Elephas maximus indicus: one gene and its partners. The protein of the gene in region 1 purifies or fractionates together with the protein of each later gene. This does not show direct contact. Links are inferred from orthologs where the notes say so. Each region holds a gene or a part of one and is shown in the gene's direction. Other genes may lie near its edges.

Region 1 (10,704 bases):
CAGGAAAGGCTCCACACACGGGGCTGAGACCCCATATGAGGGTGACCCCCAGCTGTGACCCCCAGCCAGCCCCCAAGTCCCATCTGTCCGCCACAGCCTGCACAGGCCTGCGCCTCCCAGGATGGTGGCCAGGACGCCGGCCTGCAGGAAGACTCCTGCCAAGGTGGAGAGTTAGGCCCCCATAGGTTATTAATAACATGGCAGCGACGTCACTGGCAGCCAATGGGAGACGATTTATTTTCAGACCCGACAGCTTGATCACGTTAATTTTAGCTGGGTCCTCTTTCCTGAGGCTGTGAAACCCCAGCCAGCCAAAGAGGGGGTGCTGTGTCTCCCCAAACAGCTCCATGGAAGAGGGCTGAGGAGGTGGAGCCTGTGCCTCTCTGCCCACCCTGTGCCCCAGAAAGTGCCTCGTGAGGCTCTCCTAGCCTGGTGTCCCCCCACCCCTCCCCTAGCTGCCTCAGGGATCACTGTGACCAGTGACTCAGAGGGAGGGAAGGAGGTGTCATCAAGGGGGCCAAGGCCCCACCCAGCAGCTGCCCAGGAGCCCAGGCCATGGCCATGGTGGGACCCTGGCTTGTGTCTGGAAGTGGTGCCTGCCTGGCTCAGGCCTCCCAGCTGCCCACTCCAAGCTCTGCTCCCCACTTGCTGTGAAGTCTAGCAGGGGGCACTTAACCTCTCTCGGCCCAGCTGCCTTACCTGGCTTGGGGTCCTGGCCTGACCTTCGGCCCTGCCCAGCACACGGGGACTCCACGCCTGGTACCTGTGTGGTTGTTATTTAGTGTTCTGAGTGTGTCAGTCTCTAGATGCTCTACCTGGCCCTTGGGAGAAGCCCCCCAAAAGCCCTCGCTGCCTGTCATGCCCCTGCCCCACCATCAGTGGTTTTGCTGGCACCGTGGACGGGACACCCCTGCCATGGGGCCTGGGCCCATCTGGCTCCAGACAGCTGTGCTGGCAGCAGCCACAGGAGGAGGGGCCCAGATGGAACACCCAAGGCACTGGGTGGGAGGGGGTACATCAGGGGAGTTGGGGCAGGGTTCCCAAGTCCCCTACCTTGACCCCTTCCAGCTGGCCCACCCCAGCCTTGGCCAATCACAGTGTCCACAGTGAGCAGTGTTCAGAACTCCGCCTAACCTTCGGACAAGAAGGCATTAAATATTGAGCCCAGGCGGGTGAGGGGTTTGCTGCTGCCAGGGTTTATTTTTAATTCCTGGCTCCTGTTTGGTGGCATCAGCAGTGATCAGAGGTGCTGGTCATCTGAGTGCCCCACCCTGCTCCCCTCCTGCCTGCAGCTGCCTCCCCAGCCCCACCCTGGCCCAGCCCCCAGGGCTCCTACATGCAGACATAGGGGTTTCAATGGGTTCTGGCGCCCTTCCCCGAGAGACCCTCCTTGAGAGCCCTGAGACCCAGGGAGGCCTGGCTGGCCCTGGCCACTGCCCTGGTCCCCTACCCTCCTCACACCTGCCTGCAGGGCTTCCAGCTCCCCTGCAGACAGGGTGGGTGCTGGGTCTCCCAGTCTAGATGGGTTGTTGAGAGAGTGAGGCCCTTGCTCCCACTCACCTCTGGGGACCCTGTCATCTGCCTGGCCTTCTGCTGGACTCTGCAGTCACAGGATGAATACAATGTGTAGAGGAGGTGGCTCCCAGAAGCAGAGACACGTTTGATGAGATGAGACCAGGGCCCATAAGAAAGCCCCGACCTTGTTCTCACCTAGGCACAGCTGCCCTGTCAGACCCCTTGAGCCCATTTTCACTATGACCCTGTCTGCAGTGGCGTTACTAGGGGGCTGTGGAGGCCGTGGACCTCACTGGGTGACACTGTCAGAAGGGGCGACACCAAAACGACTGTCTATAAAATTTTTGTGCAGTTTCAGCAGAGATTTATTGTTTTTTTATAAAAAATCTCTGTAGTTAGTTATAACAACAAAAACATTTTTTGTAAGCCCAGTTTATATGTATCAATATACCTACAAGTCTAAAACTCTACACTAACTTGCTTTTTGAACCTTCTGATGCCCTCTGGCAGGGCTGTCAGAGTTATCCAACGACAGCGACGCTTCAGATCCCACGGTGCCGTCTGCACATGCCACACGCCTGTGCTGTTGTTCTTCTTGCTGCCCGTGTTTATACGGTGGCTGATTTTGTCCAATTTTCTGGTGTTTTAGCTACTTTATTGTGGTAATTAGTGTTTGTGAACCTATATCAGTAATTTTTTTGAGAATGAAGTAGTGTAATTAAGGGAAGAGAAGGAGAAAAATAAAAAAGGCTTTGGCTCAGTTACTGATAATGTTGCACTAATATTGTAATTCAAAGCAGATTTTATAAAACAACTTGATTGTTAGTAATCATATAGCCTAAGAAATCGTATACCTTAGCAATTTACAACTATGCTTATCTATGATTAAAACTGATAACAAACTTACATGTATAACAGTTACTGATTATATAACTTTGATAACTACGTAGAGAAAATGACAGTTGAGAACATGAAATTTAAACATGAAAGAAGTTGAAAACACAAAAGAAGTCGCCTCTGTAACCTGAGAGTGCAAGGGAAGCAGCAAGTCCTCCAGAAGATCCGGCTAATTGACCACGGCGGCTACAGTAAACAACGGATTTTCGATGTAGACAAAACGCCTTGTATTGGAAGAAGGTGCCGTCTAGGACTCTCACAGCCACAGAGGAGGAGTCAATGCCTGGCTTCAAAGCTTCAGAGGACAGGCTGACTCTCTTGTTAGGGCCTAAATGCCATGCTGGGGAAATGCTGTGTTTCTTGATAGATGTTTAGAAATATTAGAAATATTAAGTTCATTTAAAAATTTTTTTTAGTCCTTTTAAAACTTTCTTTAAAAACCTTACTGTCTTGCAAATACATATCTGACTTTAATGGAATTTTCAGGGTTTAAAAAACTAAATGACACATTACAAAGTGAGTTGGCGAAAGGCATTGATTTCGATGAAGTCATTCACACGTTTGCAGCTTTGAAGGCCAGGAAAGGAGAGTTCTGATTTAGTCGAGATGTTTGCTGGGTGCTGAAATGCTTGTGTGTTGGTTCCTGATTATTTCTACGGCATTATTTCAATCATGAGTATGTTCCCATCTGCATTGTCTACAACTTCTACACTATCTGGGCCATTATCAATTATGCAAACCTAATCCATGAATCATCGAACATGATAGTAAAGTTTAATGTTAAAATGAACATAATTTTCATGTAATTCTTAAACATTTTTACTTCAAATTCTGTTTTCTTACCGAATTTCCACTTTAACCACATGAAACTATGTAATGTAAATGCGTTTATGCTGTGCGTGTGACATCGTAATTTAAAGATGAATTTTAATTTTGCTAGTTGTTCCTGTCACTATTACCATTACATTAACTGATACATGGAATTACGATTTACAAACAGCAATAGTACAAAAAACATTAGTAAGGGTTCTGCAAGATCTGGTACGGGAGGAGGTCCATGGGGGGGTGCCAATGAGTTACCGCACTGGGTGACATCAACCCTAGTGATGCCACTGCCTGTCTGCCCCTGTGACCAGACGGCTCCATGACCCTGTCTGCCCTTGTGACCAGACATCTCTATGATCCTGTCTTCCCCTCTGGCCAGACGACTCTATGACCCTGTCTGCCCCTCTGTCCAGATGGCTCTATGACTGTCTGCCCCTGTGACCAGAGGGCTCCATTACCCTGTCTACCCCATGACCAAGCAGCTCTATGCCCCTCTGCCCCTGTGGCCAGACCGCCCTGTTTTTGTCTTGGCACTCAGGGCCCCCTGAGAGACAGCCCATGCTCTTTCCCTCCTCCCCAGGACAGGGATTCCTGCTCAAGCTTGGATACCCCCACTCCAGTTTTTAGAAGCTCTTGCCATAGCTGTTCCTTCTCCTTTGTGCTGAGGGGTCTCTGAGCTGTCCTTGAAGGGTTGGAGAGAAGCTGGGATGGGAGGAGCTAAAGGTCGAGCCCCAGGGCTGGCCAGCCCACACTCCACTGTGCCCACAAGACTGTCCCCAGGGGTGCCAGAGGGCCCACCACAGGGTTTCCTGTGGGAGGGGTGGTGGGCTGGTGCCTTGGCTTCCCCATAAAGACCCTACTAAGTCCAAGTGATCACCTTTCTTCACACACCCCCTCCAGACCTTTGCCAGGAACCCACCAGGGCCACTAGGCCCCAGCTGAGCACCTGCCCTCCTCCAACACCTCCACTGAGCAGACGCCATCTACCTCCTCCCTCCTAAGTCCTGTCCCGGGTTAATGGGTGCTGGTGGGGTGAAGGGTGGACGGCCGTACAACAGAGACCCTGGGTCTGCCGAGGCCCCACAGGAGCAGAACGGGGCCACCCCCGCTAGCATCTCCTGGACGAGCATAGGACAGGGCCAGACGGCGCCAGGCAGGCCCCTTCCCGTAAGAATCCCCAGACACACAGGGGCTGCCAAGGCGCAAGCCTTTTGTCACGATTCTTTTCTTGGGTGGGTTTAGGGTATTGCTGGGGGTCCTTCCAGCCCTGGAATGGGCCAAGAATTTCAAGGCAGGGCCAAGCAGAGCCAATGAGAGCATGGGGTAGGGGCATACTGAGGGGCAGCGTCTGCCCGGCTGTGCAGGACAATGGCCAGAGAAATGGCCTTCACTGCCAGGTCCTGGGCATCCAGCCGCCATCATGGGCTGAGGGTCATGCTGAGGATATTCAGGCAGATGGACTCCAGGGGGCAGGAGAGACAGTCCCACACCACATGGGACCAGTCTCAGTCAACAAAGATGATGATCTTGGCAACATTCCTTCCCGAGTGCCAGCCATCACAGACAGTGTCAAGGTCATGGCAGGGAGGCTCAAAGCTGACCAAGTTGGGGGACAAGTGGGGAACTCCCCAACCATGGACTGTCCCCCCACCAAAGGCCGGCCTGCTGCAGGCTGGGCAGGATGGGCCTCCTGGGACTGCCACCCACAGATGATCCTCCAGGGAGTGGGGTCACAGGCCCCGGGTTGGGTCTGGGGGAAGGTGGAGGACTGGCTACATTGGACCTCACCAGGTGCTGGACACAAGGACCTGGAGGAGTAGGTGCTTCACTCTCCCTGCTTAACCAAGTAGGACCCGGAGGGCGGCAAAGGGTGCTGGGTCCACAGCCAGAGAGGGCACTGGCTGGAGGATTCACAGCTGGCTGTGAGAGGTGGTGTTCTGACTCCTGAGTGCCCACCACGTTCCCTCCTTTCATGAACCCCTTATTCCCACAAGTCGGTGTTCCTGGCCCCCAGGCCCTCACCTCCACTGGCTGAGGCTGCTCCATGGGCTCTGTTTAGTTGCCATCGAAGCCTGTGGGAAGCAGACTGTGCCCCTCAGCAGGGCAGGGTGCCTCCTCTCCCGACTCCTCCCGCACTCAGCTCTGGGCTCGGGGGGCCATCTCAGACCCTTTAGGTTCTTTGCATGAGGTGGACACTCCTCTGAGCAGCTAGGCCAGGCAGCGAGCCCTTCACTTTGAACTTTGAAGTGACAGCTGTGATTTCCCTGGAACTCTGCCACCCCTGTGATTAGGGGTGATCTGCTGTGCTGAGGGCACTCTTAGGGCCTCCCAACTCCTGCCTCTAGGTCAGCAAGCCAGCGTTTTGGGCCAGCTGGGAGCTTGTGCTGGGTCAGGACCCTCACTGGAACTTTCCCCAGGCACCTCCTGCCTCTGGCTTCAGCAGCTGGGGGGCCTATATGCACTGAGTCAGGGTGGAGCCTCGGCCTTGAGGAGCAAGAGGCTGGGCCAGTAACGGAGGCTGAGTCATGGCCCTCAACTCGGTTTGGGACCTGATTTATCAAATCGGCTGATGCTGTTTCCCAGGAACCTGTGCACCCACGAGTGCACATGCCCTTCGCAGATGCCAGCGCATTCTTGGGATGGGTGTTAAGCGCTGGCTGTGCACCTGAGCATCCCCGAACCAAGGGACCCAGGAAACAATGGTTGTTTCCAGGGGCCTCATGGGAACAGATTTGCTGTCCCAGCCTCAGTCCACTTGGCCCACAGAGGTATTCAGAGGCCCCATTCTTGGGCCACACCATGGGGACTAGGTGGGCCAGGCAAGAGGGAAAGGTCCCACCAGAGAGTGCCTGAAGGTAGCTTCATTTGTTCATGGGCATGGACTCTGTGCAGGGCCAGGGCTGGCAGGGGGTTCGTGGGGTCAGGGCAGTGGCCCAGACCCTGGCCTCAGCCCCCTTGGGTCCCAGGCACTGGTTGCTCTTTGGCTCCGAGGGTCCCTCAGACCCTGGAGGAATGGGTCCCACTTGACCTTCCCACAAGCCAGCTCCTGTCCCTGTGGATTTTACTCTCAGCCCTGGGGACCTGTTTTTTATTCTTTGTCTCGTCTTTTCTGCTTTGTCTTCATTGTCTTTGATCTGGGCCCGCCTCCCAGCCCTGGCTGCGTTTCTCTCAGTCTCCTCTGTGTTTCTCTCCATGGCCTGCCCCAGCTCTCCGCCCCGCCTCCGACCCGTTTCCTCTCCCGCCGCGCTCCCTCCGCGCACCCTCGGTGCGTCTGGCTCTCCGCGCCTTTGTGGCTTGCTCTCCCCGCAACCTCCCTCCCGCGCTCGTCCGTGGGCCCGCCGCCCGCATCTGCACCCCGCGCCTGCGCCCCGCCCAGCGTACCGCAGTGCCGTACTGCAGGGGCGCAGTGCACTGCGCCGCACCGTCAATAGGTGGACCCCCTCCCGGAGAGATAAAACCGCCGGCGCCAACGTCGCCAGTCCCTCTGGCTGAGACCGCGGCTCCGGGTAAGGACGATCGGCCTCGAGGGCCCCCATCCGCGCTCCGGCTTCCTGTAGAGGGTCTTCTCCCCGGGGACGGGTCCTGGGGGCAGGCAGGGGCTGGGCCGGGGAGCCTCGCAGGGCTGCGCTGCTTGACTTGCAGACATCCGCTGCCCATCCCAAGCACCCCAACCGGGCACCGCGCTCAGATCCCCGCGGGCAGCGGGTCTGGGGGGACCACGATCGCTTGTTTACTCGGCGGCGGACTATGACAGGGGCTGGTCTCCTGGGCGGAGGCCGCCACCCTGCAGCCATGACCTTGGAAGGGACCGCCCCTGCGTTGCTGGGGCCAGGGTCGTCAGTGCTGGGGGATGGCAGGGGTGGGTGCTGGAGGTGTCCGGGAGACGTAGCTGGGGAGGAGAAGGCGGCCAGCCGGGAACCCGGCCACTCTGCGCCCACCCCTGTGGGCCCCGGCGGTGTCCACCTAGCTATCCACGCCCCAGGGTGCTAGCCATGTGTGCCTCTTCCCCTCCCCCAGGCGCCTGCCCTCTCCTTGGCGGCTGCTTCTCCACTGACCTCAGATGGGGTGGGGGTGGGGGGCAGCCAGGAAGGTGCAGGGCTGATCAAGGCCCCTGACCAGGGTGGGGGGCAGGCTTAACCCTCCCCCGTGCCCACCGGCTGGTGGCATTGGCATCGGCACCTGCTGCGTTTGGCTGCTGGAGCCAGATACTCCTCTGGCCAGAATGGATACCCCCATTCCTGCTGCCTGCCCCCCACCCAGATTCAAAGGAAGGCGGGGCTGTTCTGAGCCCCTAACCCTGACACAGCAGGGTTCCTGTCCAAGCCCCCCCCAAAGCCTGCCTCACCCCCTCATCCCTGGGTGCCAGCGGATGGGCTGGATGGAAGATGGCGCTATCCTTGCTTGGGGAAGGGAGTGAGGAGCGCTGATCATCTTCATGGGGCGGGGGGGCAGTGGGGACAGGGCCTCTGGTGACTCATCAACCAGGCTCCCCGGTGACGCTGGTCGAGCATGGGGCTCACCCAGCCTGGCCTTTCTCTCCACATGGGAGCGAGCCTCCTTTGTCACGGGGCTGGTGTCTTTGGGCAGCGATGCCCAGACACTTCCAGCCTTACAGCCACGGGGTCAAAGGGAGGGGTGGGGGGTATATGGCCCACGTGGCCAGCCAGGCAGGGTCTAACTGGGGCACGGGATGTGGGCAGGGACTGTGCCACCACATGCACCAGGGCGGTGTCTTTTCTGGGCTTTAACCTGAGGCTCCCTGTCCCCCCACTCCAGCCCCATAGAAGCACTGCTCGGCAGCCCCCTCACCCCAAGTCAGAGCGCCCCAGGTTGTGCTGACTCCCCCACACCTGGGCAGAATGGGGAAGGAGAAGACCCACATCAACATTGTGGTCATCGGCCACGTGGACTCAGGCAAGTCCACCACAACTGGCCACCTCATCTACAAATGCGGGGGCATTGACAAGAGGACCATTGAGAAGTTTGAGAAGGAGGCAGCCGAGGTGAGCAGAGGGGGTTCCGTCTCTCCCACCTTCACCCCTGACCCATCTGTCTGGCTCAGGCTACCTCCTCCAGGCCTAGAGGGTGTGAGGCTTGAGGGAACCTTGTCCCAGAAGCTGGAGGTGGGGGGATCTGAGCATGTGCCTGGGTTTGCTCCATGATGGGGGATGTGGCCTGGGCCACGCGTCTGCCTTCCATGGCGTGGGCAGCAGGGCTCAGAATGCTCTGCTCATGGGGCTGGCGGAGCCTTGGGCTCCTGCACCCACAGGGACAAACGGGGCTGGAGGTGGGGCTGCCCTCACTTGACAGGGCACAAGGGCTCTCTGGCTGCTATTAATAGCTGATTGATGGGCAGCGAGCCACCAGCTCCATTTTCTTGGGCAGGACTGGTGGGGGGTGCGCTCGGGAGGTTTTGGCTGCCCTGGAGAGGATGAGGGGCCATTAGCTGGTGGTCCCTCTCACAGAGTGGCTGAGACCTGTGGGTGGGAAGTGGCTGTGTAGTGGAGGGTTCACCACTTTTGGGGGCTGCCCCCCGCCCTGAGCTTGGGAGAAGCTCACATGTGAGAAAGCCTCTGAAGGCTCTCACCGGGTGATAGAGGGGCCCAGGGTGTTGCTGGTCTGGGCTGAGCCCTTGCCCAGGTGCGGTGCTCTGACCTACATGCCTCTGTGGGAGGCCCAAACAGCTGCGTCACTCCTTCCTGTGGCTGCATGGGGAGCAGCAGAGGGTGTTTGGAGGGCATCTATTCTGGCGCACTGGCCCAGGGATCGTCTGGCACCCCCCTTTAGGCTGGGTAGCCTCCCTAGGGGTAGAGGCCTGTCCGCATGAAGGCTGGCAGGGAGCTTGGTGAAGCTGCCCTCCCTGAAGCCCCAGCCCCAGGTGATGGGGAGTCTTGCTCCGCAGACCCCAGGCCCAGGTGTTTGTAGAGCAGAGGGCAGGCCTGGCCTTGTGTCTGGGGAGACCTTCTGAGTCACCTGTGTGGGCAGGGTGGGGTGGGGAGAGCCTCAGAGCTATTTGGGGGCCCTTGCCGGCTGTAGAAAGAGCTGGAAAGCTGGTCCCTTTGGTGTGACCCAGTTCTTTCTTTTTTATTTTTCAATGACACAGAGTGGTTATCCAACAGCCTGAGACACCCTGTGGCATTGTGGACTTCATGGGTGGGGTTCCCAGCAGCCAGGGGAAGGGGTTAATCCCAGCTGGCAGCTCCTCTTAAGACAGGTTCCAGGCCCTCCCGCCACCTACTGGTGGGTGTGGGAAACGGTGCGGCCTGCTGGACACAGCATGGGCAGGGATGGCGAACCTGGGTTAAGTCATGTCTGTGGACGCCGGGCGGGGACATCCCTTGGGGGGTCCCTAAGCTGGCTTTCTTGTTCTGGGGAGCTGGTGTCATGGGGTCCAAGCAGGTGGCAGGGTGAGACTGGAGCCTGTTTTCATGGAGGGAGCCTCTGCTACATAAGCTGCTTCCAGAGCCCCAGAATGGCTCCCATGGCCAGGTGGGGGCAGCTGAGGTGGATGGGAAGTGACTGCAGGCCTGGACCACCCGGCTGGGCCTCTGAATGCCCCTGCCCTGCTCCCTCCAGATGGGGAAAGGTTCCTTCAAGTATGCCTGGGTGCTGGACAAGCTGAAGGCAGAGCGTGAGCGTGGCATCACCATTGACATCTCCCTGTGGAAGTTCGAGACCACCAAGTACTACATCACCATCATTGACGCCCCGGGCCACCGCGACTTCATCAAGAACATGATCACCGGCACATCCCAGGTGGGCAGGGGGCCGTGTGGGGCAGCAAGGGCAGAGCCACCACAGCCCCCTGGGGGGTCCTGGAGTCCTCTGGGGACAGCTAGGTCTCCTCCACACCACTGAGCACTGAGCAGTCAGCTGCTCCAGCCCACCCGGCACCGAGCCCCCAAAGAACTGATGAAGTGCTGTAGTGTCTCAGCCAGGCATGGATAGACAGAAGGACAAACAGACCTGGAAGCCAGCTGCCATCAGGGCATAGGTACAGGGTGGACAGAGATGGATAGCCCCTTCACAGACAGATGGACATAGAGATGGGGGCACCCATGCAGGCAGACAGACACAGGCACCTCACAGACAGATGGACACAGGCACCCAGACCTGACCCATGTAGGAGGCAGGATGAGAACCAGCAACAGTCACCTGCGTTTCCTTGGGGTGTTGGGATCTCCAAAGTGCTTGTACAACTAAAACCATCTTTTGTCCTCACGATATCCCTGGGACACTTGTAGCTGGCAGGTGAGGAGGGGACAGGGCTGGAGAGGCTGAGTGACCTGTCAAGAGCCACACAGCCCACTGGCGGCAGAGCTGGGGCAGGGCTGGGTCAGTTGGGGGCCGAGCCTCTGTAGCTGTCCCTGGGTTGGAGTTCCCTGGTCCCTCCCCTGGGCAGCGGCTCACCTGCCCAACCTGCGGCAGGCTGACTGTGCAGTGCTGATCGTGGCTGCGGGCGTGGGA
Region 2 (10,965 bases), on another chromosome or scaffold:
AGTTTTTAGAACTGCCAGGGATGTGGTGGGGATCCCAATACCAGTATTTGAGAATACCGGCAGGGGGACATTTTGCCCTACCTGTTTTCTCCACGTGATGGTTTTTCCCTTGTCCCCGTATAGCTCTTCTATTCCTTTTTCAAGTCCCTTGTTGGAAAGGATGTGGTCGTGGAACTAAAAAATGACCTGAGGTAGGTATCTATTTCAATAAGTCTGCAGCGGGTGGGTGTGCCCAGGGCCCTGGAACCTTTTTAGTTTGATAAGTATTTGATGGCTGGGCAAGGTGGGAGAGATACAGAAGAAATAAATGACCCAACCTGTGCCCTAAGCTTACGCATTAGCTGGGAAGTTGTGTATGGGAAAACGATACAAAGCAATATATAATTTAAAGGGTAAGTATTAGAGAGGTCAGAATGTGGAGATGTCAATAAAATGTTTTCCAAAACAAACACAGTTTTATTTTTTTCTGATTAAATCATATGTTCCTTTGACCCAACTTCTAGAAATTTAACAATCAATTCCACAAGGAAAGATGAATGTCCAGAGATGCTTGTAGCTTTATTTGCAATAGCCAAAAATTGGGAACAATTTGAAATCTATCAATATAGAATTGGTTTATTAAATTGTTGTATTTCCATACTATACGGCTGTCCCATAGGAATGAGATGTGCTGATATGGGAAAGCTGTTGCAAAATAGTATGTGTGGCGTAATCTTCCTTTTCCTAAAGAAAACAGAGGACTAACAAGACCAGTGCAGTCTCTTTTGTCTGTATTGTCTTCTGTTTGTAAATCCTTTATCTCCTTGTATCATTGGCTCTGAATCATCTTTCAGGACTTGGTTAAGTGCTCTGTCCTCAGACAGACTTCCTGGTCCTTCTAGGCAAGTAGGCCCTTCTGTCATCGAGTCTACTTTCTTCCTAGTGGGTACTTCTCAAATTGTGATTTCATAGAAATATATTTACTGTTTAGAGCCTGTCCTCCCTGCAGGACCAGGACCACATTTAGCTTACTACTGTCGAGTCGATTCTGACTCATAATGACGGTACGGGACGGAGTAGAACTGCCCCATAGAGTTTCTGAGGAGCACCTGGTGGATTTGAACTGCCGACCTTTTGGTTAGCAGCCATAGCTCTTAACCACTACACCACATAGACCTGGTATATAGTAGGAGTTTAATAAATGTGTGCTGAATGAAAAAAAAAATTGCTAATGTTTGAGAGCCTCCTCTGGACTAGGCACTGTTTTGAGTACTTTGCATTTTTTTAACTCATTTAATTTTCACAACACCCCTATGTGGTGTATATTATTGTTCTTGTTTTATACTTGAGGAAACTGAAGCTTAGGTTAGAAACTCACTGGAGTCCTCACAATTAAGCCATACAGCCAGAACTGAAATCCAGTTCTGTCTGGTGCCTTTTTAAAAAAGTTAAACAGTTTAAAAAAAAAAAAAAAACTGTTAAAAATAGGATCATATTCTCTATGTAATTGTTAAACTTTTCACTTATGGATATTTTTCTGTGTAAATAAAGTTGATCCTTTAAAATTTTTAACTACTGTCTAGTACTTTATTATTTGTTAGATGGCTATATTTAACCAGGAGCCCTGGTGGTGCAGTAGTTAAGAGCTATGGCTCCTAACCAAAAGTTTGGCAGTTCGAATCCACCAGCTGCTCCTCGGAAACCAGTGGGGCAGTTCTCTATCCTACAGGCTCGCTATGAGTTGGAATCAACTCGATGGCAACAGTTTTGGGTTTTGGTATTTAACCAAGATCTGTTTTAGACACTTAGGCTGTTTCTGATTCTTTGCTTTTACAAATGATGCTATCTTGAACATCTTATGTATACATCTGATTATTTCTATAAATACGTAAAACGTATTTATAACTATTATCCGATTATACTTTAGGAAGAGATTGAATTAATGTATTCTCTCCCCAACAGTTTCTCCCACCCAGGAGAATGTGAAATTATTTCTTTGTGGGAGAAGGATTGATGTGGCAGGGAATGGTGAGGAGAGGGGCTGAACTGGAAGGCGTTAGCCTTTTAGGCCAGAGATTTCAATTTATGGCACTCATGCCACCGGCGATGCAGACAGTTTTAATTGGCATATGGGTTGGGGCTGTAGAGCAAGACAAAAACCAGCCCTAGGCCATTCTGTGAGATGACTTGTCTTTGAGTTCCCTCTTTTCTCCTTCCTAGGCCTTCATCATGGCAAGGATAAATAACTTAGGTTGTAGCCCAGGGCCTAAAGCAAGGACTTGGAAGACTCTAAGATGTTTCCTTGGTTGGGAGAAGAGCTCTTTCCCTCATCCTTGTTGTCAGACCAGTTTTACGCCAAGTGTCTCCTCCTTAAGGGACTGAATAAAATGACACCACCTGATTCAATTCCTGAAAGTTGCTTCCACTGCTGCAGGCAGTGAAGTGCAGCAGTCACAGGCTTTGAGCAGCCAGGGACATGGTGAGAACATCACTGAGGCAGTAAATCTCAGACACTGGATTTCAAAGACTTATAGAATTTTACAAAAATTGGGAGTCCAACCTAGAGTTGCCAACTTTATTTTTGACAGGATATTTTTTAAACTGCCATTATTACTATCATTTCATTTAAAACATTTTTAATACCTCCCCCCCCACAAAAAAATAAGGAAGGGCAATTAAAGAGCAGTGTTCTTTGGAAAAAGCTATTGGCAGCCCTAAGTACAACACGCATACACGTATTCTCTATATTGTATTTACTGAAGATTTTACATGCACATGTCATTGTTTGAGAACCACAGTTCCGAGGAGCTTGAGTTTGGGGATGACATGCAAGATGGTTAAAATCAAGGCGACTGGTGCTTCAAAATAATATGGAGGAGTGGATGGAGGTATTGATAGGGAAGGACTGGTAAGGGTGGGCAGTGTTCACATGGGAGTCATAACATTTGTGTGTCTCCATAATAAAATTAATCAATATAAAATGTAATTATATTTGATCTATGCAAATTTGTATATATTAAAAGGTAAATATAAAAACATTAAAATCAGTTTAACAGAAACCACAACCAGGTTGGATGTTGGCCTGGGTCGAGCTTCAAAATAATAAGACCTAGGTTTGTAGAAGTCCAACTAGAAAAGGAATTACAGAAACAGAAGTCAGCAGATGATGAAGATTCACAGGACATGGAGAGCGAAGAAGTACAACTTACAGGATTTGAAGTTACGGGACTAAATTGTTGAAGCCATTGATAGAAATTAAAGTTGAGAGAGAGAGGAAGCATAACTTTGAGCATTGGTGTTTATATAGCATTCCCCATTAACATTTTAGAGGGCTTCGGACAGTGGTGGAGCGATAAGAATTTTTGCTTTTCATGTGGGAGACCCAGGTTCGGTTCCCAGCCAATGCACTTCACACATAGCCACCACTTATCTGTCAGTGTAGGCTTGTGTACTGCTGTGATGCTGAACATGTTTCAGTGAAGCTTCCAGACCAAGATGGACTAGGAAGAAGGGCCTGGTGATCTTCCAAAAATTGGCCAGTGAAAACCCCTATGCGTGATGACGTTTCAACCTGCAATCTGTTAATGGGGATGGCACAGGACCAGACAGCATTTCATTTTGTTGTGTATGGGGTTGCCGTGAGTTGGGGGCTGACTTGATGGCAATTAATAAGAAGAACACAGATTGGGAGCACAGATGCCCTTTATGTCTGCATCTTCAAGAGCAATGCTGACTACCTTTATCTACTTTACATATGGGGCTTCTGCTTCCAAAGCAATAAATGTTTGAAAATAGCTCATGCTGCAAGCATCAGACCTGAAGTCCCTGCTTATTTGCTCTAAAGTCAGGCAAGTTAGACAGCTCTCTGAGTGCCACATGGTAATAGCTACCTTGTAAGGTGGTTGTAAAGATTACAAATAACTATGCACAGTACAGGTCTAGTGTTTAACAGTTGTTTAATGGTAGCTCTTGAGTGGGTTGGTTTAGAGAGGGAAGATGCGGGGTCTAAAATACACCATTCTTAAAGCTTTTTCTTACTCCAGGGCTTAAAGATGTCTCTCTTGGCCCACCTTTGAAGTCACCTCTATGTTTGTTGACTTTGCTGTAAGTTAATTCGGTTTTTCTCTCCCTCTACCCCCTGATAGCATCTGTGGAACACTCCATTCTGTGGATCAGGTGAGATATAGCAAGAGCCCAGAATTGGGTCTTGGGGAAGGAGAGGGGAGAGCTTAAGGGCTGGATACTTGCATCTTGTCTCTAGGGTTAATGATGGTATTCCATCTTTTTTTTAGTATCTCAACATCAAACTAACTGATATCAGCGTCACAGACCCTGAGAAATACCCTCACATGGTGAGTAGGGATGGTGAAGAAACACCTCCAAAAGTAGGAGGCCCCAGGGTGGGTAGAGGATATGTTTTTTTTTTTTTGGTAGAGGATATGTTTTTTTTTTTTGGTAGAGGATATTTTAAGGATGTTTTCACATTTGTTTGTCTTTGTATAGTTGTCAGTGAAGAACTGCTTCATCCGGGGCTCGGTGGTCCGCTATGTGCAGTTGCCAGCAGATGAGGTTGACACACAGTTGCTCCAGGATGCAGCAAGGAAGGAGGCCCTGCAGCAGAAACAGTGATGGTTCCTTCTCTGCTTCCCCGCCCTCTTCCACTGGTGACCCATAACCTAATATCCCAGCCCAGGGCCCCTCTCACCCATGGAGTTGTTTTGTTTTTGGCTGGTTGAGTTTTAATAGTGAGGCTTTTTTTTTTTTTTAACGATGAGCAGATGAGAGGGATAATAGTGGGGAGCAGGTTTCCTCTGTTGAGAAGGGGAGGATAAGTAGTGTGGGTAACTGCAAAGCCTTCCCAGTCCCCAGCACCTGCCTTTCTCACTCCTTCCCTGGAAATTGTAGGAGAGCCTCTTAGATCTTTCTAGGGCAGGGTGTGATTCTCTTTGGGGCTGGAAGGAATCTGTCCCGCATCGGGAATAAAATTCATGATGCAAATTTGAGTTGTGGTTTTGTGGTATGTCTTTTTGGGCAGGGACTTGGGGCAGGGGGCAGGAAGGTGATGCTGGATTCATTCAAGCCCTGTTACTCTCCACTCCCATAGCCAAGAGCCCACCCCAACTACATAGCATTATCTGTCACTACTCCCCTTTGTATAAACCGTGTAATAACCTGGACTATTTTTTTTTTTTATACACCATGTTTTCCTGAATATGCCCCTACTTATTTTCTCTCCCTGGTCTTTTGCTTATACTGTACCTATAACTGGAGTGTTTTGCCACTGTGGTGTCATAACCAGTCCAGGGAGGCTGAGATTATCCACCTCTGATGTCAAATGTGTGGTGGATAACAAATCCCACTCTACATGCAGCTTCGTCCTGTGGGAATCTCAGCTCCCTTCCCTGGTCAGTTCAGACTCCAGCTGTTCCATGCAGCTCTTTGTCTCTCGTCCCCGGTCACTGGGGCTAGGTCAGCAAGTACAGGCCCCTTCTGTTTCCTAGGTGCTTTAATTGTTGAAACGACTCAAAAACTGCAGGGAACGGGCTATCTTCAGCAGAAAAAAGGATACAAACACCAAGGGCGAGGTCCAGGAGGTCCCAGGAAGCTCCAGTGAACATCTTAAAAGGCCTTTTATTGACCTCACCACATGGCCATGATAGGGTACATCCTTTTTCCAGAGGTTCCCTCTGTCTGGTCAGCCCCCCCGCATTGGCCTCATTGGCCAGGCTCTCAGGAACCAGGGCGAAAGGCCAAATTGTTTACTGCAAGGGGGTTCCACACTTCCCAGGTACCCTTAACACTTCTGTGCTCTCTCATTTATGTGGCAGTTAATACTATGAGACATCAAAATCCATGATAGGTTTTGAGTTTCTTTCTCAATCTAGCGAAATCGGTAGTCTTTCTGAATATCTGTTAAGAAGGTAAATAAACACAGGACATAACTTGTATTGCATAGAGTTATGACAGGGAATTACTAAACTCTTGATTCATTCAGCAAATGAGTTCCCGCCACAGGCGAAAATTCAGTTACAAGGACCATAACCTAACCCAGTGCCGCCGAGTGCCACAGAGGCCACCTAATGTGACGCCATCATCGCACACGTGAAGAAATGAGGCTCAGGAAGGAGGGTGGACTCCCCCTCCCCATCGGTGCGGCAGAGTCTAGCTCCAGCAGGATGATACTCGCCGGCTGCCCGCTGGGCACCGCCCTCCCGGGCCCGCCTAGCGGCCGCCCACCACCCACACTGCCAGCTCCGAGGACCCCGCCAGGGTGTCCGCGGCGGCGCCTGACTGCAGGGCGGTCCCGGGGACGCCCTCCCGCGCTGTGCCTGCGCCCCTCCCCGTTCTTCGTGAGTGCGGCCCCCGGCGGCGGCTCGACCCCGGAGCAGCGTCGGCCAGGGGCCGAGCCCGCCCGTGCAGGCGGGACGCGGCCGCCCGCGCCAGGATCCGCGGGCCCGGAAACGCTCTCTGTCATAAAGGCGGGGGACACGTGGGTGCCGACGGCCCGGGAGGCGGTCGCAGGGAAACTAGGATCGCCCGAAAGACCGCCACCGCCGCCGCCCCAACCTGCCCGACTCCTCGGCCCAGGCCGCCCGGCCCATCCCGCCGCGGGCCAGCCCGGCCTAACCACCTCCCTCCAGTATGTACACGCGGCCCGAACGTGCGTCCCTGCTGACGCGGAAAGCCCCCTCACACTCCTGAGGACCGTGATCATGGGGAGTCCCGCCCCCCTCTGCCCCAGGCGCTCCCACAGCCGCCCCTCGGCTCCCGAGGCCTCATCAGACCTCCAGCCCTGGCAGAGGAGTCCCCGTGAGGGTCCCCTCTGCTGGGATAGGACCCCCCTTGAATCTCTCGTTTTACCCTGTCTTTTTTTCTCAGGTTTTTCCGTCTTGTTCGGAGTCCCTGAATAGCCATGTCCATCCTCTACGTCTCCCCTCACCCAGACGCCTTCCCCAGCCTCCGAGCCCTCATAGCCGCCCGCTATGGGGAGGCTGGAGAGGGTCCCGGATGGGGGGGTGCCCACCCTCGCATCTGTCTTCAGCCCCCCCCGACCAGCAGGACTCCCTTTCCCCCACCCCGCCTGCCCGCCCTGGAGCAAGGGCCAGGTGGGCTCTGGGTGTGGGGGGCCACAGCTGTGGCGCAGCTGCTGTGGCCAGCAGGCCTGGGGGGCCCTGGGGGTAGCCAGGCAGCAGTCCTTGTCCAACAGTGGGTCAGTTATGCCGACACGGAGCTCATACCAGCTGCCTGTGGGGCAACACTGCCAGCCCTGGGACTCCGAAGCTCTGCCCAGGACCCCCAGGTGAGTGGAGAGAAAGAACAGGGAGATTCAGAGGAAGGAAGCAAGGACTGGAATGGATAATGAGAATATTCTCTCAGAGAGTGAAAACATTTGATCAAATCCCAATTCCCACCTGGTATGGTTATTCTAAGCACGTTTCTAAAACTGTCAGCCTTGCTTTCACTGTGTCTGTGAAACAAAAGTGATGTAATACTTTTGAGTTGTTAAGAAGATGAAAGAATGTGTGCAGAGCACATAGCCCAGGGTTTTGCTCTTTAAAGGCTCAGAATAAGTGATGAGTTTGAAACTGAGAGTGATAGGGATTACTTTGAAATGGTGGGAAAGACCGGGTGAGGGAGAGATGATTAGATTTGGGCAGCTTGGGCAGGGTGGGGAGAGATAACAGTTGCCAGGAGGAGATGAATGAGAAATGAAATGAGGAAAGAAATTAAGGGGAAAAAAGGGGAGATTTAACTTCAATGCATCACTCCACCACATTGTAAATGTGCCTCCAGAGTGTGGCTGTGCCTGAGTGTCCTTGTAGCTCTTATCAGAGTATGAAGCATGTGGTGGGTATTTAGTATCTCATCAATGACCGACTGACTGAATGGATAGATATGTAGCATAGGCCCTGGCTTGTTCCTTGAAATCCTGGTCACCGTATTTAAAAAAAAGAGAGCCACCCTCTCCTGGAACTCCCTGCCCCTTCACGCTGCTTTGTTTTTCTCCATAGCAGTTAAATAGGGTGCTACATTATATATTAGCTTATTTATCGTCTCCTCCACTAGAATGTAAACTCTACCAGGTCAAGGACTTGGCCTACTTGTTCAAATTCTGATCTCACCCTGGAGTAGTGTCTGGCACATAAAAAAATAAACTGAAACCAGTTGCGGTGGAGTGATTCTGACTCAAGGCGACCCCATGTGTGTCAAAGTAGAACTGGTCTGTAGAATTTTCTTTTTTTTTTTTTTTTCATTTGTTAATTGTTCATTTACCAAGAGAAACTATTCCTTAGCCCACAGAGTCGTGTTTCATAATTCAGGAACATAGGCCAGTGACAACTTCCATGAAACTCAATCCAAAGAAATTCTTTATATTCCAAATCACTTTGCACTCTGAAGCATACCAGCTTTTCTCATCTCTTCAGAATCCTTCATGGAATCATAATTTCTGTAGAAATCCATAGATGCCTCCATGGTTCAGCTACTGCAAACTTACAGAGAGCTGCAATCCCCAGGGACATAATGAGTGCTCCAGCGATATGAATTCATAGACACCTGAGCAGAAGGCCTTGCATCTGAGGTTTCCCCAATACGCTGGAAGACATGGTGGTTTTTCTCACTTAACACCAATGTCCTTCCTGACTAGTGGAGAAAATCCATAGGGTTTTCAGTGGTTGATTTTTTTAGAAGTAGATCATCAGACCTATCTTCTGAGGTGCCTCTAAGTGGACTTAAACTGCCAGCCTTTTGGTTAGCAGCTAAGCACATTAACTGTTTGTACCTCCCAGGGACTTCTGCCAGGTACATACCAAAAACCAAACCCATTGCCATCAAGTCAGTTCCAACTCATAGTGACCCTGTAGGACAGAACAGAATTGCCCCAGAGTTTCCAAGGCTGTAATCTTTATGGAAGCAAACTGCCACATATTTCTGCCACGGAGCAGCTGTTAGGTTAGAACTGCTGACTTGTAGGTTAGCAGCCGAGCTCTTAAGTACTGTACCACCAGGGCTTCTCACCAGGTGCATAGTAGGTGCTTAATAAATATTTGTTGAAGCAAGTACTTTGTTACCTCACGTACTAACCTGTTCTTAATAGCATTTGGCATGTAGTAAGTGTTCGGTAGGGGTTTGTTAAATGAATGGGGAGGAAGCACTTTTATTATGAACATTTGAGAGAAGAGGAAACTGGCCTTTGGGATTTGTGGGAGCAGAGGGAAGCCAAATGGACTGAGTTCCGGGAGCCAGGTGGGGACTGAGGCAGGCCAAGCCTTGTCTCACACCCCTTCCTCTTCCTGCCAGGCCGCACTAGGGGCCCTGGGCCGGGCCCTGAGCCCCTTGGAGGAGTGGCTTCGGCTGCACACTTACCTGGCTGGGGAGGCCCCCACTCTGGCTGACCTGGCAGCTGTCACAGCCTTGCTGCTGCCTTTCCGATACGTGAGTCACTGGGGCCTGGGGAAGGATGAGGGCAGCTCCCCTCAGACCTCACTGTGACTAAGGGTAACTCATTTCTTTTCCCTCTTCCTCATCCTCATCCCAGGTCCTAGACCCCTCAGCCCGCCGGATCTGGGGTAACGTGACTCGCTGGTTTATCACGTGTGTCCAGCAGCCAGAATTCCGGGCCGTGCTGGGAGAGGTGGTTCTGTACTCAGGGGCCAGGCCCCTCTCCCAACAGACAGGTGACAAATGGTGGGGGTGAAGGATTAGGAGTCTCTGGGGCCTTCCATGCAGCTCACTTCCTCTTTTCTCTCAGAAATGGTAGGGGGTTGCAGGGGTCTGGGGAGGGTACAATGGGAGGATCAGTATAGGGGAGCTCTCAGGCAGCTAAAATAGCCCACGTGAAACATAGTATCATCTTCATGGAGGGTCCCTAGCAGGTTCAGGCTGAGTCTGCATTTATGTACCCCTTTCCAGGCCCTGAGGCTCCTGCACCCCCAAAGACAGCTGCTCAGCTCAAGAAAGAGGCAAAGAAACGGGAAAAGCTAGAGAAATTCCAACAGAAGCAGAAGATCCAACAGCAGCCACCTTCAGGGGAGGTGAGAGACTGAGGGTAGAGCTGACAAAAAGGCCAGTGTCTTGCAAAGGATGACTAATGTCTGGGCCTGTGTCTTTTTCCTCTTAAGCAGAAGAAACCCAAACCAGAGAAGAAGGAGAAACGGGATCCTGGGGTCATTACCTATGACATCCCAACCCCACCTGGCGAAAAGAAAGGTACTGGGATGGGGAAGGGATACCCACCCTTCACCTCAACCCTCCTTAGCAGCTCCTCCCAAACTTTTATCCCTTCTTGCTTCATCCTTATTCCCACCACTTTACTTGGTGAGGTTGCAGATCCCCCAGACCCCCAACACTGCCTTGTGATGTGAGCGAGAAGCCCAGAGCTCCTTCTGTGCTGGCCTGTCCTTTTCCCAGCTCCTCCTAGCCTTGGCACTGACCCCACCTCCCCTCTACCCCAGATGTCAGCGGCACCATGCCCGACTCCTACAGCCCTCAGTATGTGGAGGCTGCCTGGTACCCTTGGTGGGAGCAGCAGGGCTTCTTCAAACCAGAGTATGGGGTGAGTGGGCACTGCCACCCAGGCCTAGAGGGGATGGGGAAGGAAAGGGCAGGGCTGAAGGACACATCACTTGGGAGGAGGTGGGGAGAGGTCACATGAGGCCTAAGCATGTATCCCATCCCCCCACCCCCATCAGCGTTCCAGTGTGTCAGCACCAAATCCCCAAGGCGTCTTCATGATGTGCATTCCACCCCCCAATGTGACGGGCTCCCTGCACCTGGGCCATGCGCTCACCAACGCCATCCAGGACTCTCTAACCCGATGGTGAGCTCCTGTCCTCTTTCTGAGCTGAGCTGGCCTCTTCTGCTTTCTTTCCCCACTCCTGTGGCTCCCTTCTCTTCCTGATTGGTGCCCTCTGTCCACTCTCTTTCTTTTTTTTGAATAATTTATTTTTGTTGTAGTTGAGAGTATACACAGGAAAACATAGACCA
Region 3 (10,185 bases), on another chromosome or scaffold:
CACACACGATTTATATTTTCTGAACCATTAGAAGGTAGGCTGTACACTGTGCGCCTTTACCCCTTAATATTCTAGCGCACATTACCTAAGAGGAGCCCTGGTGGCACAGTGGTTAAGAGCTCAGCTGCTAACCAAAAGGTCAGCAGTTTGAATTCACCAGGTACACCTTGGAAACCCTATGGGACAGCTCCACTCTGTAGTATAGGGTCACTGAGTTGGAATCAACTCGACAGCAACAGGTTTTTTTTTTTTGGTTATTACCAAAGAACAAAAGTATTCTGGTGCATAACCACGATACGATTATCAAATTGAGGAAATTTTAACACTGGTACAAGACTTTAACCTCCAGTCCATATTCTGATTTGTTAGCTGTGTCTACGGTGGACTGTCGTAGTGTCTCTTCAGTCATCTTTGATCTGGTATAGTTCCTCTGCCCGTTATTGTTTTTTGTGACAATGATATTTTTGAAGAATACAGGCCATTTACTTTATGTAATTACACGGCTACTTTTATTTTTAAAAAAGGATTGCTGTGAGGATTGAATGAGTTAATAGATGCGAAGCCCTTAGAATAGACCCTAACATGTAACAAGCTGCAGATATTAGATATTGTCATTTTGGGGACAAGAATGTTCCCCCAGTTAGGGGACAGCAGCAGAGGCATTCACTTGGCTCTTTTCTGCCCACAGCCAGCCCCAAAGCCTCCAGAGTCTCCATCCTTGGACTCGGCCCTTGCTTCCCCACTGGATCCTCAAGCCCTGGCTTGCATCTCAGCCTCCCCTCCAGGCTCACAGCCTCCATCTTCTCCCCAAGACTCTGAAGCCCTGGACTTTGAAACCCCATCCTCCTCCCTGGCGCCCCAGACTCCGGACTCGGCTTTGGCCTCTGAGACCCTGGCTTCCCCCCAGTCCCTGCCTCCAGCCTCTCCCCTACAGGAAGACAGGGGAGAGGGGGACCTGGGGAAGTCTCTGGAACTAGCAGAGGCCTTGAAGGGGGAGAAAGCAGAGGGGGGAGCAATGCTGGAGCTGGTGGGATCTATTCTTCGGGGCTGTGTGCCTGGGGTGTACCGAGTCCAAACTGTGCCCTCTGCCCGACGCCCTGTGGTCAAATTCTGCCATCGGCCCTCAGGTCTCCACGGTGACATCTCCCTCAGTAACCGGTATCTTTCTTGGGGAGCGGTGGTGGTGGTTGGGAAAGGCTAGCTGAGAATTCCAGGGTAGGAGGAGGGAGTCCTGGTCTGAGAAGCTCCTGTACCTTCCGAGCCCTGAGATTATTCTTGTATGGTCTCATCCCTCTTTCTGCCTCTCATTTCCTTGTCTGGTTTCTATTTTATGTTCTTGAAGTGTGTTCCTGGGGATACTATTTTTAAGGGATGTGGAAAAGGATTTCATGGTTAAATACATTTGGAAAGTGCTAAATTAAATGAGTTTTGTTTTTTCTCTTTCCCCTTTCCCTCTTTCTCTTTCCTCCCTTTCTCCTTCCCTTCCCATCTCTGTTTTTTTGCATACTGAAGGCTCTGAGCAGTTTTATAACCTGCTCTGAATGTTCCAGACTGGTATATAGGATGTTATGTTTCCTAAACTCATTTGATTTCCTTTTGCACACCCTCTCACAAGACCAGTGTTTTGGTACCCACTTTGGGAAACCCCCTCTGGCCTGCTTACTCCACTTGGCCCTGGTTATACAAGTCAGGAATGAGAGCAGGGGGAGCTGGTAGCTCAGAGGGGTCTTGAGCCCTGACACCATCGTCCTCCTTTCATCCCAGGCTGGCTCTGCATAATTCCCGCTTCCTGAGTCTTTGCTCCGAGCTGGATGGGCGAGTCCGGCCCCTTGTGTACACCCTCCGCTGCTGGGCTCAGGGTCGGGGCCTGTCAGGTAAGGATGAATCAGGACGGACTTAAGGCTGAGTTGGTGTCAGGACCAAGGATATCAGGGAGAGAAGGGGGCAGGTATAAGAACTGGTGTGGAGAAAACTGCTATAAAAGAGGTCGGGAGCCTCTCTAATCTAACTGGAATTACTGATTATTCACTCAGGGAGCGGCCCCCTTCTCAATAACTACGCCTTGACCTTGCTGGTGATCTATTTCCTTCAGACCAGAGACCCTCCTGTGTTGCCCACTGTGTCCCAGCTCACCCAGAAAGCAGGTACAACAGTTTGGCCTTCACTGCTCCGCCATCATACTTAGACACACTGAGCTAATGAGGTCTCTTCTTATCCCTCCCTCCCCCTTCGCTTCTCCCCACACAGTCCCGTTTCCTGGCTGAACTGCACCTTTCTTATTCTCACAGGTGAGGGAGAACAGGTGGAGGTTGATGGCTGGGATTGTAGTTTCCCCCGAGATGCTTCGAGACTGGAGCCCAGCACCAATGTGGAGCCCCTCAGTAAGTTCTGGGAGCCTGGGAGACAACCAGTGATTTTATTAATCACAATAGTAGGTAACATTACCGTATGTCTACTGTGTGCCACGCATGGTTCTCCATGGGATGGTGAATATTGTTATTGTCATTTATGGACAAAGAAACAAAGCCTTGGGGCAGCCAAGTGGCTTGCCCGAGGCTACACTGCTAGCCAGAGGAGGGAGTAGCCTCTGGGGAAGGGTGTTGCTGAGGGCACAGAGAGAGGGGCTTGACCTCTTGTATAGAGGGAGCAGAGAAGTCTAGCTTCTTGACATTCTCCTGAGCTCCTTGGAAGAGAGACACTACTGCTAAGGAAATGGCTCTGGTGTAAGACCTGTCTCCAACAGTCTCAGTTCTGGCCTGTACCTGTTGCTGTCAAGTCGACTGCAACTATAGTGACCCTATAGGACAGAGAACTATCCTATAGGGTTTCCAAGGCTATAATTTTTATGGAAACAGACTGCCACATCTTTCTCCTACAGAGCAGCTAGTGGGTTCAAACTGCTTGGTTAGCAGCCTGTTTAACCACTGTGCCACCAGGGCTCCTTTCTGGCCTATAAGTGACCCTTTTTCTCCAATCTTCCTTCTCCTGCAGGTTCCCTGCTAGCCCAGTTCTTCTCCTGTGTCTCTTGCTGGGATCTTCGGGGCTCACTGCTTTCTCTGCGGGAGGGCCAGGCATTGCCTGTGGCAGGAGGCCTGCCCTCTAATCTCTGGGGGGGCCTGCGCCTTGGCCCCCTGAATCTCCAGGACCCGTTTGACCTGAGTCATAACGTGGCAGCCAATGTGACCTGCCGGGTAGCTGGGCGGCTACAGAACTGCTGCCGAGCAGCAGCCAATTACTGCCGAAGCCTCCAGTACCAGCACCGTTCCTCCCGGGGTCGGGACTGGGGGCTGCTCCCTCTTCTGCAGCCCAGCTCCCCTAGCTCCCTGCTATCTGCTACACCCATCCCCTTACCCCTGGCTCCCTTCACCCAGCTCACTGCGGCCCTGGTCCAGTTGTTAAGGGACGCATTGGGGTGCTGTATAGAGCAGGGAACCAAGAGATCGAGGTCAGAGGGAGATGCAGCTGGGGAGTCTCCCCAGGGAGGGACAAGCAAAAGACTGAAACGAGATGGACGGACGCAGAGCTGTGAGGAGGGGAGGGAAGAGCAGCAGGAATGTGCAGGGGGCCACGGTGAAGACGGGGTGGAAGAAATGGTCATAGAGGTTGGTGAGACGGTGCAGGACTGGGCAATGCAGAGTCCTGGGCACCCAGGGGAGCTGTCCTTGACAACCAGAGAGCACCTAGTCACTGGAGAAGGGGGCCAACCAGACCAGGTAGCCTTGGCAGAGCAGGGACCCAAGGGACCTGATGCAGCCCAAGAAGGGTCACAGGGTGAGACAGGCAAGGGGGCGGCACTCTCCTCGGTGAGCTGGCGCTGTGCCTTGTGGCACCGAGTGTGGCAGGGGCGGCGGCGTGCCCGGAGACGCTTACAGCAGCAAACCAAGGAAGGCAGTGCTGGAACAGAGTGGCTGAAGACTGAGGCTCAGGTGACCCAGGAGCTGAGAGGACTGAGTGGCGGTGAACAGAGGCCAGGGGCTGAGCCCCTCCTGACCTTTGTGGCGTCCGCCTCCCAGGCAGACCAGTCTCTCACTGTGACCCCGCTCCAGGATTCCCAAGGCCTGTTCCCTGAGCTACACCATTTCTTACAGGTTTTCCTCCCTCAAGCACTTAAACATCTCCTCAAGTGAAGACATACACACTAAAGGGCAATAAAGCTGCTAGTTTACTACAAATGGTCTCCAGTTTAATTTCCACCTGGTAGTAATCCTCCACCTTCCACCAATACATCTCCTTTCCTCCTTCCCCTCCCCCAGACCTTACCCACCCACTCATCCACCGCGGTCCAGTCGATTCCGACTCATAACTCATAAGGACCCTATAGGACAGAGTTAGAACTGCCCCACAGAGTTTCCAAGGAGCGTCTGGCGGATTTGAACTGCTGACCTCTTGGTTAGCAGTGGTAGCACTTAACCACTAGCCACCAGGGTTTCCCCGCCAGACCTTAGCTGCTGCCTTCTCAGAGGGGCCTCTTCTGACTACCCTGTCTAAAAGAGTTCTGTTATTCTCCACCTCGGAGCCTTTTTATTTCCTTCATACCATTTATCACGGCTGGCAGGGAGAGCCAAGGCAGTTGTGGTGCCTGGGCCTTGAGTTCCTGAGTGATGGCGTGGTCGGCGAGTTGAACAGTACTTGGGAGAAGAACCAAATTTGCCTCAACATTTCTTCTGCTGCCCCAAAGATTTATGAGTGGTGACAGGGCCCACGATTCGGGCTCAGGGTTCTTCTTTCTCTCCTTTAAGAGTTCATCTGGCTCTTAAATTGGGTAGAGGATCTTCAAATCGGTGAAGGGCAACCCACCAGTATGTTAATTACCTTAAATCATTAGCCGCCTAGGGTCGGAGGCCAGCCTCCCGATAGGACGTGGCAGGGATATGGCTGCACCCTCCCTTCTGCCCCTTCCATGTCGCGGGCCAGAGTACTAAAAAAACTAGCGCCGTTTATTTTCGCAGTAACAGCATCCCAGAGCTGCAAGGTGGTTTAAAGGGAGCAAACCTCACTTTTACAGGCGGTTTCAGACTTGGGCCCCTGTTGAGGTAGACGTCCCTTTCTAGCAACGAAGGGAGTTTGGCAAACTACTACCTCCGCACAGCAGCTATTTCTCTGCTTTGTCATACATTCATGGTTTGGGGGTTTCGCAGAACCCCCATCAAGCCCCTTCTCCCCGGATCTGCAGGGAGACGCCTCTGCGCCCCGGCGCAGCGCCTGCTGACAGCTCTGCCACGTAGTCGGGAAGGGGCGTCTTTTCCAGCAGTTTCTCACTGTTTCCCCTCCCTGGGCGCCGTCCCCCTCCACGGGGGGACCCGCATTGGCCACACCAGTGGGGCGGACCAGCCAAGAAAGTCCCAATGCGCAGGCGCCGGCTTTACCGCGCCGGCCCGCGAGCCCCACCCCCTTTCTGCCAATTCAGCCGCAGCTGGGTTTCGAACTGTCGTGCGTATGCCTTCTATGCCGTCCTCGCTTTCCGGCTGCTGTTTCTCCACGGCTCTCCCCTTTCCCCCCTCCTTTTTCCCCGTGGCGGCTTGCTTTGCGGCAGCGCCGAGAACCCCACCCCCTCTCTCTGCGGAATCACCATGGCGGCTGGGGTAAGTTTGCCGGCTCTGGGAAGCGAGGTGACCTTATCCACCTCCATCCTCTGCCCGAGTGGGGTCAGTGGGCGCCCAGAGGAGTTCCAGAGCCTAGTGGGGTGCTGATCTGGGGTCTGAGGTCTAGAGACATGACTGCTGGAGAGCAGGGCTTCCGGAGCCCCGAGGGGAACTGAGGCTGGGGTTCACGGAGGCCAGAGGTGGAAGGGTCGGGGGTAAAGCAGAAGAGATGTCGAGTCCGGGCTTCCTGGGGCCTTGAAAGGGGGTTCGGGTTCATTGCCACCTCGAGATATGGGAGCCCAGCAGGCTGACGGAACTTCGGCGACCGTTTTGTGGGGCAGCAGCAGCGGACAGGGTAAAGAGGAGGGTCTTTGTGGGCACATTCGGCTGGCCACGGTTAAGGGTCGCTTCAGGGGGGGTTGGGAACGAAAGAAGTCCCCGGACTGTGGAGTCAGGCCAGTTGGACTCCGCTGTCCAGGATAGTGAAGGAGGAAAGTCAGCACCAGAGAACTCACTGCGGGACAGGAGGGGTGGTATGCGTGACAAGGTAAAAGGCTCTTTAGGGAGACGAGTTGGTTGGGGAAGAGGGGGCGCCATTTGGTGTCTCCGTGGCAGTTCTGAGGGGAATTATTTCCACATCTGTTGGTGGGGTGTGTGTTCTTTAGAGACGAGGGTGATGGTTATGAAGGAGAGACTGGCTCAGCTGTAGAGTAGGCAGGCGCTCCGCACCCTTCAATGAATGAAAGAAGGGCTCTGGGAAGGGAGGGGTGCTGTGGTTGTCGGCAGATGGAGTCAGAGTGAGCTACAAGCTCTGGGTTTCTTGGAGATATATTTGGGGGAAGAGAATGCATGTAGAGGTGTCCTTAGGAAAGGTCAGATCTGTCAACAAGCTTTATTTAGCAGTTAGTGTGTAGTTCTGTTCTTGGAATTTCCAGGGACTCTGATTACATATGGCAGGTACTAAAGAATTTGGTTCACCAGCGGGAGTAAAAGAGTGAACTGAACAGATGGCAGTTACTCACAGGGGGGTAATTCTGGGGGGTGGCATTTAGGACTGGGACCCTCAACTCCAATTATTTTATCCTCCCCTTCTTTCTTGCACAGACCCTGTACACATATCCTGAAAACTGGAGGGCCTTCAAGGCCCTCATCGCTGCTCAGTACAGCGGGGCTCAGGTCCGCGTGCTCTCCGCACCACCCCACTTCCACTTTGGCCAAACCAACCGCACCCCTGAATTTCTCCGCAAATTTCCTGCCGGCAAGGTGAGTAGGGAAGTGGAGAGAGGTGGGCCTTTGGCCCTGAGAGCCCACAGAGCCCTAGAATCCCATTGCTCTGGAGGAAGTTTCCATCCTTAAAAGGAAGCTTCCTGTGTTTTTTTTTTTCGCATTTCAGTGACTTAAATATTATTATGAGATAATTGCAGACTTAACATGGAGTTGTAAGAAATAATACAGAGATATCTAGTGATTTTTTTTTTTAATAAAATGCACAGATTTATTTGTGTCTGTAGGAAGAAGCATGCATTTTGACCAAGTGTTTTCAGTGTGAATAGATCAAGTATCTGCTCTGAGGTGGGTCCCTGCCCCAGGGGGCCTACAGAGATAATGTAAATTATCCTGCTAAAGGAAAATAGCTCAAGTGCTCTGGGTAGCAGCATAACGAGGGGTGTAGACTTAGATGTCAGACTTGGGGTATCTAGTCTTTTGCTTGTAATCTTATTGAGGGGTTTTATACAAATACTTGATAATATTCAAATTGTTTGGATTCACTAGTTCAGATACTGAGAGTTTGGGTGGCAGGGGTTGTCAGCTGTATATAAAAAAATTTATCCAAAACGATTCAGTCCCTGGAACAGGCTAGTGAAGATCCCTGTGTATTTTACTTCATCTTTTGACTGCTTTGTCCTCAGGTTCCAGCATTTGAGGGTGACGATGGATTCTGTGTGTTTGAGAGCAATGCCATTGCCTACTATGGTAATGTGCAGGGCAGTGCGGGAATGGGAGGGTCTGGAGATGAGGGGTGTGGAAGTAGAGGGTGAGGGTGAGCTGGAGTGGACAAGAAGATTCTTAGGGGCCTGGACTGGAGTTGGCATGGCCCCAGTGTTCCTGACCTTTGTGTCCTGTCTCTGCAGTGAGCAATGAGGAACTGCGGGGAAGTACTCCAGAGGCAGCAGCCCAGGTGGTGCAGTGGGTGAGCTTTGCTGACAGCGACATAGTCCCTCCAGCCAGTACCTGGGTGTTCCCCACCTTGGGCATCATGCACCACAACAAGCAGGTGAGCCTCGGGACTTAGGCAGAAGCCAGGGGCTCCAGAGTGTCAGAGAGTAAAAGAAAAAAGATTGAGAAAAGGTGATGCCCAAAGAATATCTGGGTAATGAGAAGAGCTAATTTTTGGGGTGTAATTTGGCACAATGGGCTGTTGAGGTACCTGAGTTCTTGGTTAGATAGACCCACTGAAGGGATTGTCATGAGTAGTCAGGGGAGAATTTCTGCTGTAGGAAGATTATACCAAACAGTATAGGAGGTGGTTTGACCAGATGGCCTCTAAGTTCCTTCTAAATTCCAAGATCCATAACTACAATCGATACAGTGGGAAGTGAAGCCAGACTGCACCATGAAGAAATTTAACACTGAGAGCTTCATTGGCGATACGTTTGGAATGACCCTAGACTCTGATTCCATTGAGAGAGGGTGGGGGTGATCCAGGACTCAGTAAGTGAAATAACTACCTTAGTTTAGTTTTAGCAGTGTGTGGAGGGGGAAAGGGATTGGCACCAACTAGCTGATGATTTAAATTCAATAGGCCACAGAGAATGCCAAGGAGGAGGTGAGGCGAATTCTGGGGCTGCTGGATGCTCACTTGAAAACGAGGACTTTCCTGGTGGGAGAACGTGTCACCCTGGCTGACATCACAGTTGTCTGCACCCTGTTGTGGCTCTACAAACAGGTGAAGTATATTAAAAAATCCAGTTGGCAGAGGGTAGGTAGAGATTAGGAACGAAGTGACAAGTCTTCCAGGTTATTCTGGGTTCTGCTGTGGACATGGGTGTCAGGGAGTCTGACAGCTAGCCTGTAGGACAGTTGGAATCCCAGGATTCAGTCCTAGAACTGTGCTTTTCTCTGCCTTTCCTGAGAAGTTTGATGTTCTGTTCGCTTAGTTTTCACGTGGCAGCTAAGATGTTTAGTTTGTTGACATATTTCCTGGGAAGGCCAGTTGTGGTGTTTAGGTAGGGGTAGTAGCTTTTTTTTTCTTCTTTTTTAAGTAGCTTCAGCATCAAGATCTTTTGGAGGTCTAGGTTTAGATCTTGGTTGCGTCACTTACTAGTTACAGGGTTGTATGTGTTTTTTAATTCTTTTAGTCTTTTTTTTTTTTTTTACCCCTGAAGTGTATAAAACCAGAGTAATAGTTATCCCTCTGGAGGGCGTCAGTTAAAGGGGATAAGGGGTTGCTTGTTTTCTTAGACTGATGCTCGTCCAGAATAATAATGCAACGATAGCATAGAAAAGATTGCTTGGAACGCAGTGGTTAAGCACTCGACTGCTAACTGAAAGGTTGGTGGTTTGAACCGACCAGCCGCTCTGGAAGAAAGATGTGACAGTCTGCTTCTGTAAAAATTACAGCCTTGGAAACCCTACGGGGCAGTTCTGCCTTGTGCTGAGGGTCTCTTAGGGACCATCTTAGTGAGTCTTTACCTCCTGTGTGGGTGAGGAGAGATGTAACCTGCCCGGGGACACAGAGCTAGCATGTGGTGGGGTAAAACTTGAACTCAAGCACTGCAGAACCAGCACTTCCAATTGCTCTGTTGTCTGTCTCAGTGGCAAATTTTTTTTCCTCTGATCTCAGCAAAATAAAAAATGACTGCTGGGAGTTCTTCACGAAGCTAAGTTTAATTTAAATGATGGTTCATTACTTTTGAAATTGTTAGATTTTTTTTTCTGCTGTTGAATGTTCTTTACTTTTTGAAGTTTGATAATAGTGGCAAACTTACTTTGGCAAAATAAGTAGTTGATAGCCCCCTGTTGGTCCCCAACCTTTAAAAAAAATTGTACTGATGTGTACAATTTAAAAAATGAGAGACGATAGACGTGAAATGGGTTTGCAAAGGAGCAAGGCAGTGTACGGATATTATTCCTCCAGAAATATTCTGATCCATGGTAAGTGGAAGGGGTGGGCCCAAGCAGCCTATTAAATTGAGCTGGATTACAAAAAAAACGATTAGGAGAATAAATGAGTAGCAGCCCTAGTGGTGTAATGGTTAAGCTCTCAGCTGCTAACTGAAAGGTTGGCGGTTTGAATCCACCCTGCTGCTCCGTGGGAGAAAGACCTGGTGATCTGCACCTGTAAGATTATAACCTAGGAATCTCTGTGGGGCAGTTCTGCTGTGCCACATGGGGCTGCTGTGAGTTGAAATGCACTCAGCGGAACCTCACAACAACAGCCCCCAGTGTAAGTTGGTGTTCTAGGGAGCTGCTGTCTAGGGGGTTTTGAGGGAAGTGGAAAATGGAGCTTTGGTGTAGAAAGAGACAAGGACTCTCAGGGTCTGGCTAGAAACTCTTCAGGGCCTTTCCCTGCAGTGACTTTGTTTCCCCCCTATATCCTGGC

The links.
Region 2: the proteins of EEF1A2 (region 1) and VARS1 purify together in Homo sapiens (co-immunoprecipitation; 3 studies listed by BioGRID and IntAct, counting the BioPlex papers as one, with this or other methods). This does not show direct contact. The link is inferred for Elephas maximus indicus from reciprocal best matches to the Homo sapiens genes EEF1A2 and VARS1.
Region 3: the proteins of EEF1A2 (region 1) and EEF1G purify together in Homo sapiens (affinity purification with mass spectrometry; 4 studies listed by BioGRID and IntAct, counting the BioPlex papers as one, with this or other methods). This does not show direct contact. The link is inferred for Elephas maximus indicus from reciprocal best matches to the Homo sapiens genes EEF1A2 and EEF1G.

The regions. Positions count from the first base shown.
Region 1 is NC_064843.1:4,533,142-4,543,845, forward strand, and holds the start of EEF1A2 (elongation factor 1-alpha 2), read left to right. Parts: upstream 1-6,492; 5' UTR 6,493-6,743; intron 6,744-8,013; 5' UTR 8,014-8,096; coding exon 8,097-8,240; intron 8,241-9,813; coding exon 9,814-9,993; intron 9,994-10,665; coding exon 10,666-10,704. UniProt on the Homo sapiens protein: Translation elongation factor that catalyzes the GTP-dependent binding of aminoacyl-tRNA (aa-tRNA) to the A-site of ribosomes during the elongation phase of protein synthesis.
Region 2 is NC_064819.1:93,307,846-93,318,810, reverse strand, and holds the start of VARS1 (valine--tRNA ligase), read left to right. Parts: upstream 1-6,388; 5' UTR 6,389-6,619; intron 6,620-6,858; 5' UTR 6,859-6,892; coding exon 6,893-7,279; intron 7,280-8,361; exon of another isoform or gene 8,362-8,585; intron 8,586-9,279; coding exon 9,280-9,414; intron 9,415-9,517; coding exon 9,518-9,656; intron 9,657-9,891; coding exon 9,892-10,013; intron 10,014-10,100; coding exon 10,101-10,188; intron 10,189-10,433; coding exon 10,434-10,534; intron 10,535-10,670; coding exon 10,671-10,798; intron 10,799-10,965. Other genes in the region: U6 snRNA-associated Sm-like protein LSm2, read left to right, coding at 124-191, 4,125-4,155, 4,272-4,331, 4,483-4,608. UniProt on the Homo sapiens protein: Catalyzes the attachment of valine to tRNA(Val).
Region 3 is NC_064825.1:125,753,232-125,763,416, reverse strand, and holds the start of EEF1G (elongation factor 1-gamma), read left to right. Parts: upstream 1-5,474; 5' UTR 5,475-5,570; coding exon 5,571-5,582; intron 5,583-6,686; coding exon 6,687-6,845; intron 6,846-7,492; coding exon 7,493-7,556; intron 7,557-7,714; coding exon 7,715-7,857; intron 7,858-8,385; coding exon 8,386-8,529; intron 8,530-10,185. Other genes in the region: TUT1 (speckle targeted PIP5K1A-regulated poly(A) polymerase), read left to right, coding at 689-1,158, 1,765-1,874, 2,034-2,144, 2,289-2,381, 2,992-4,127. UniProt on the Homo sapiens protein: Probably plays a role in anchoring the complex to other cellular components.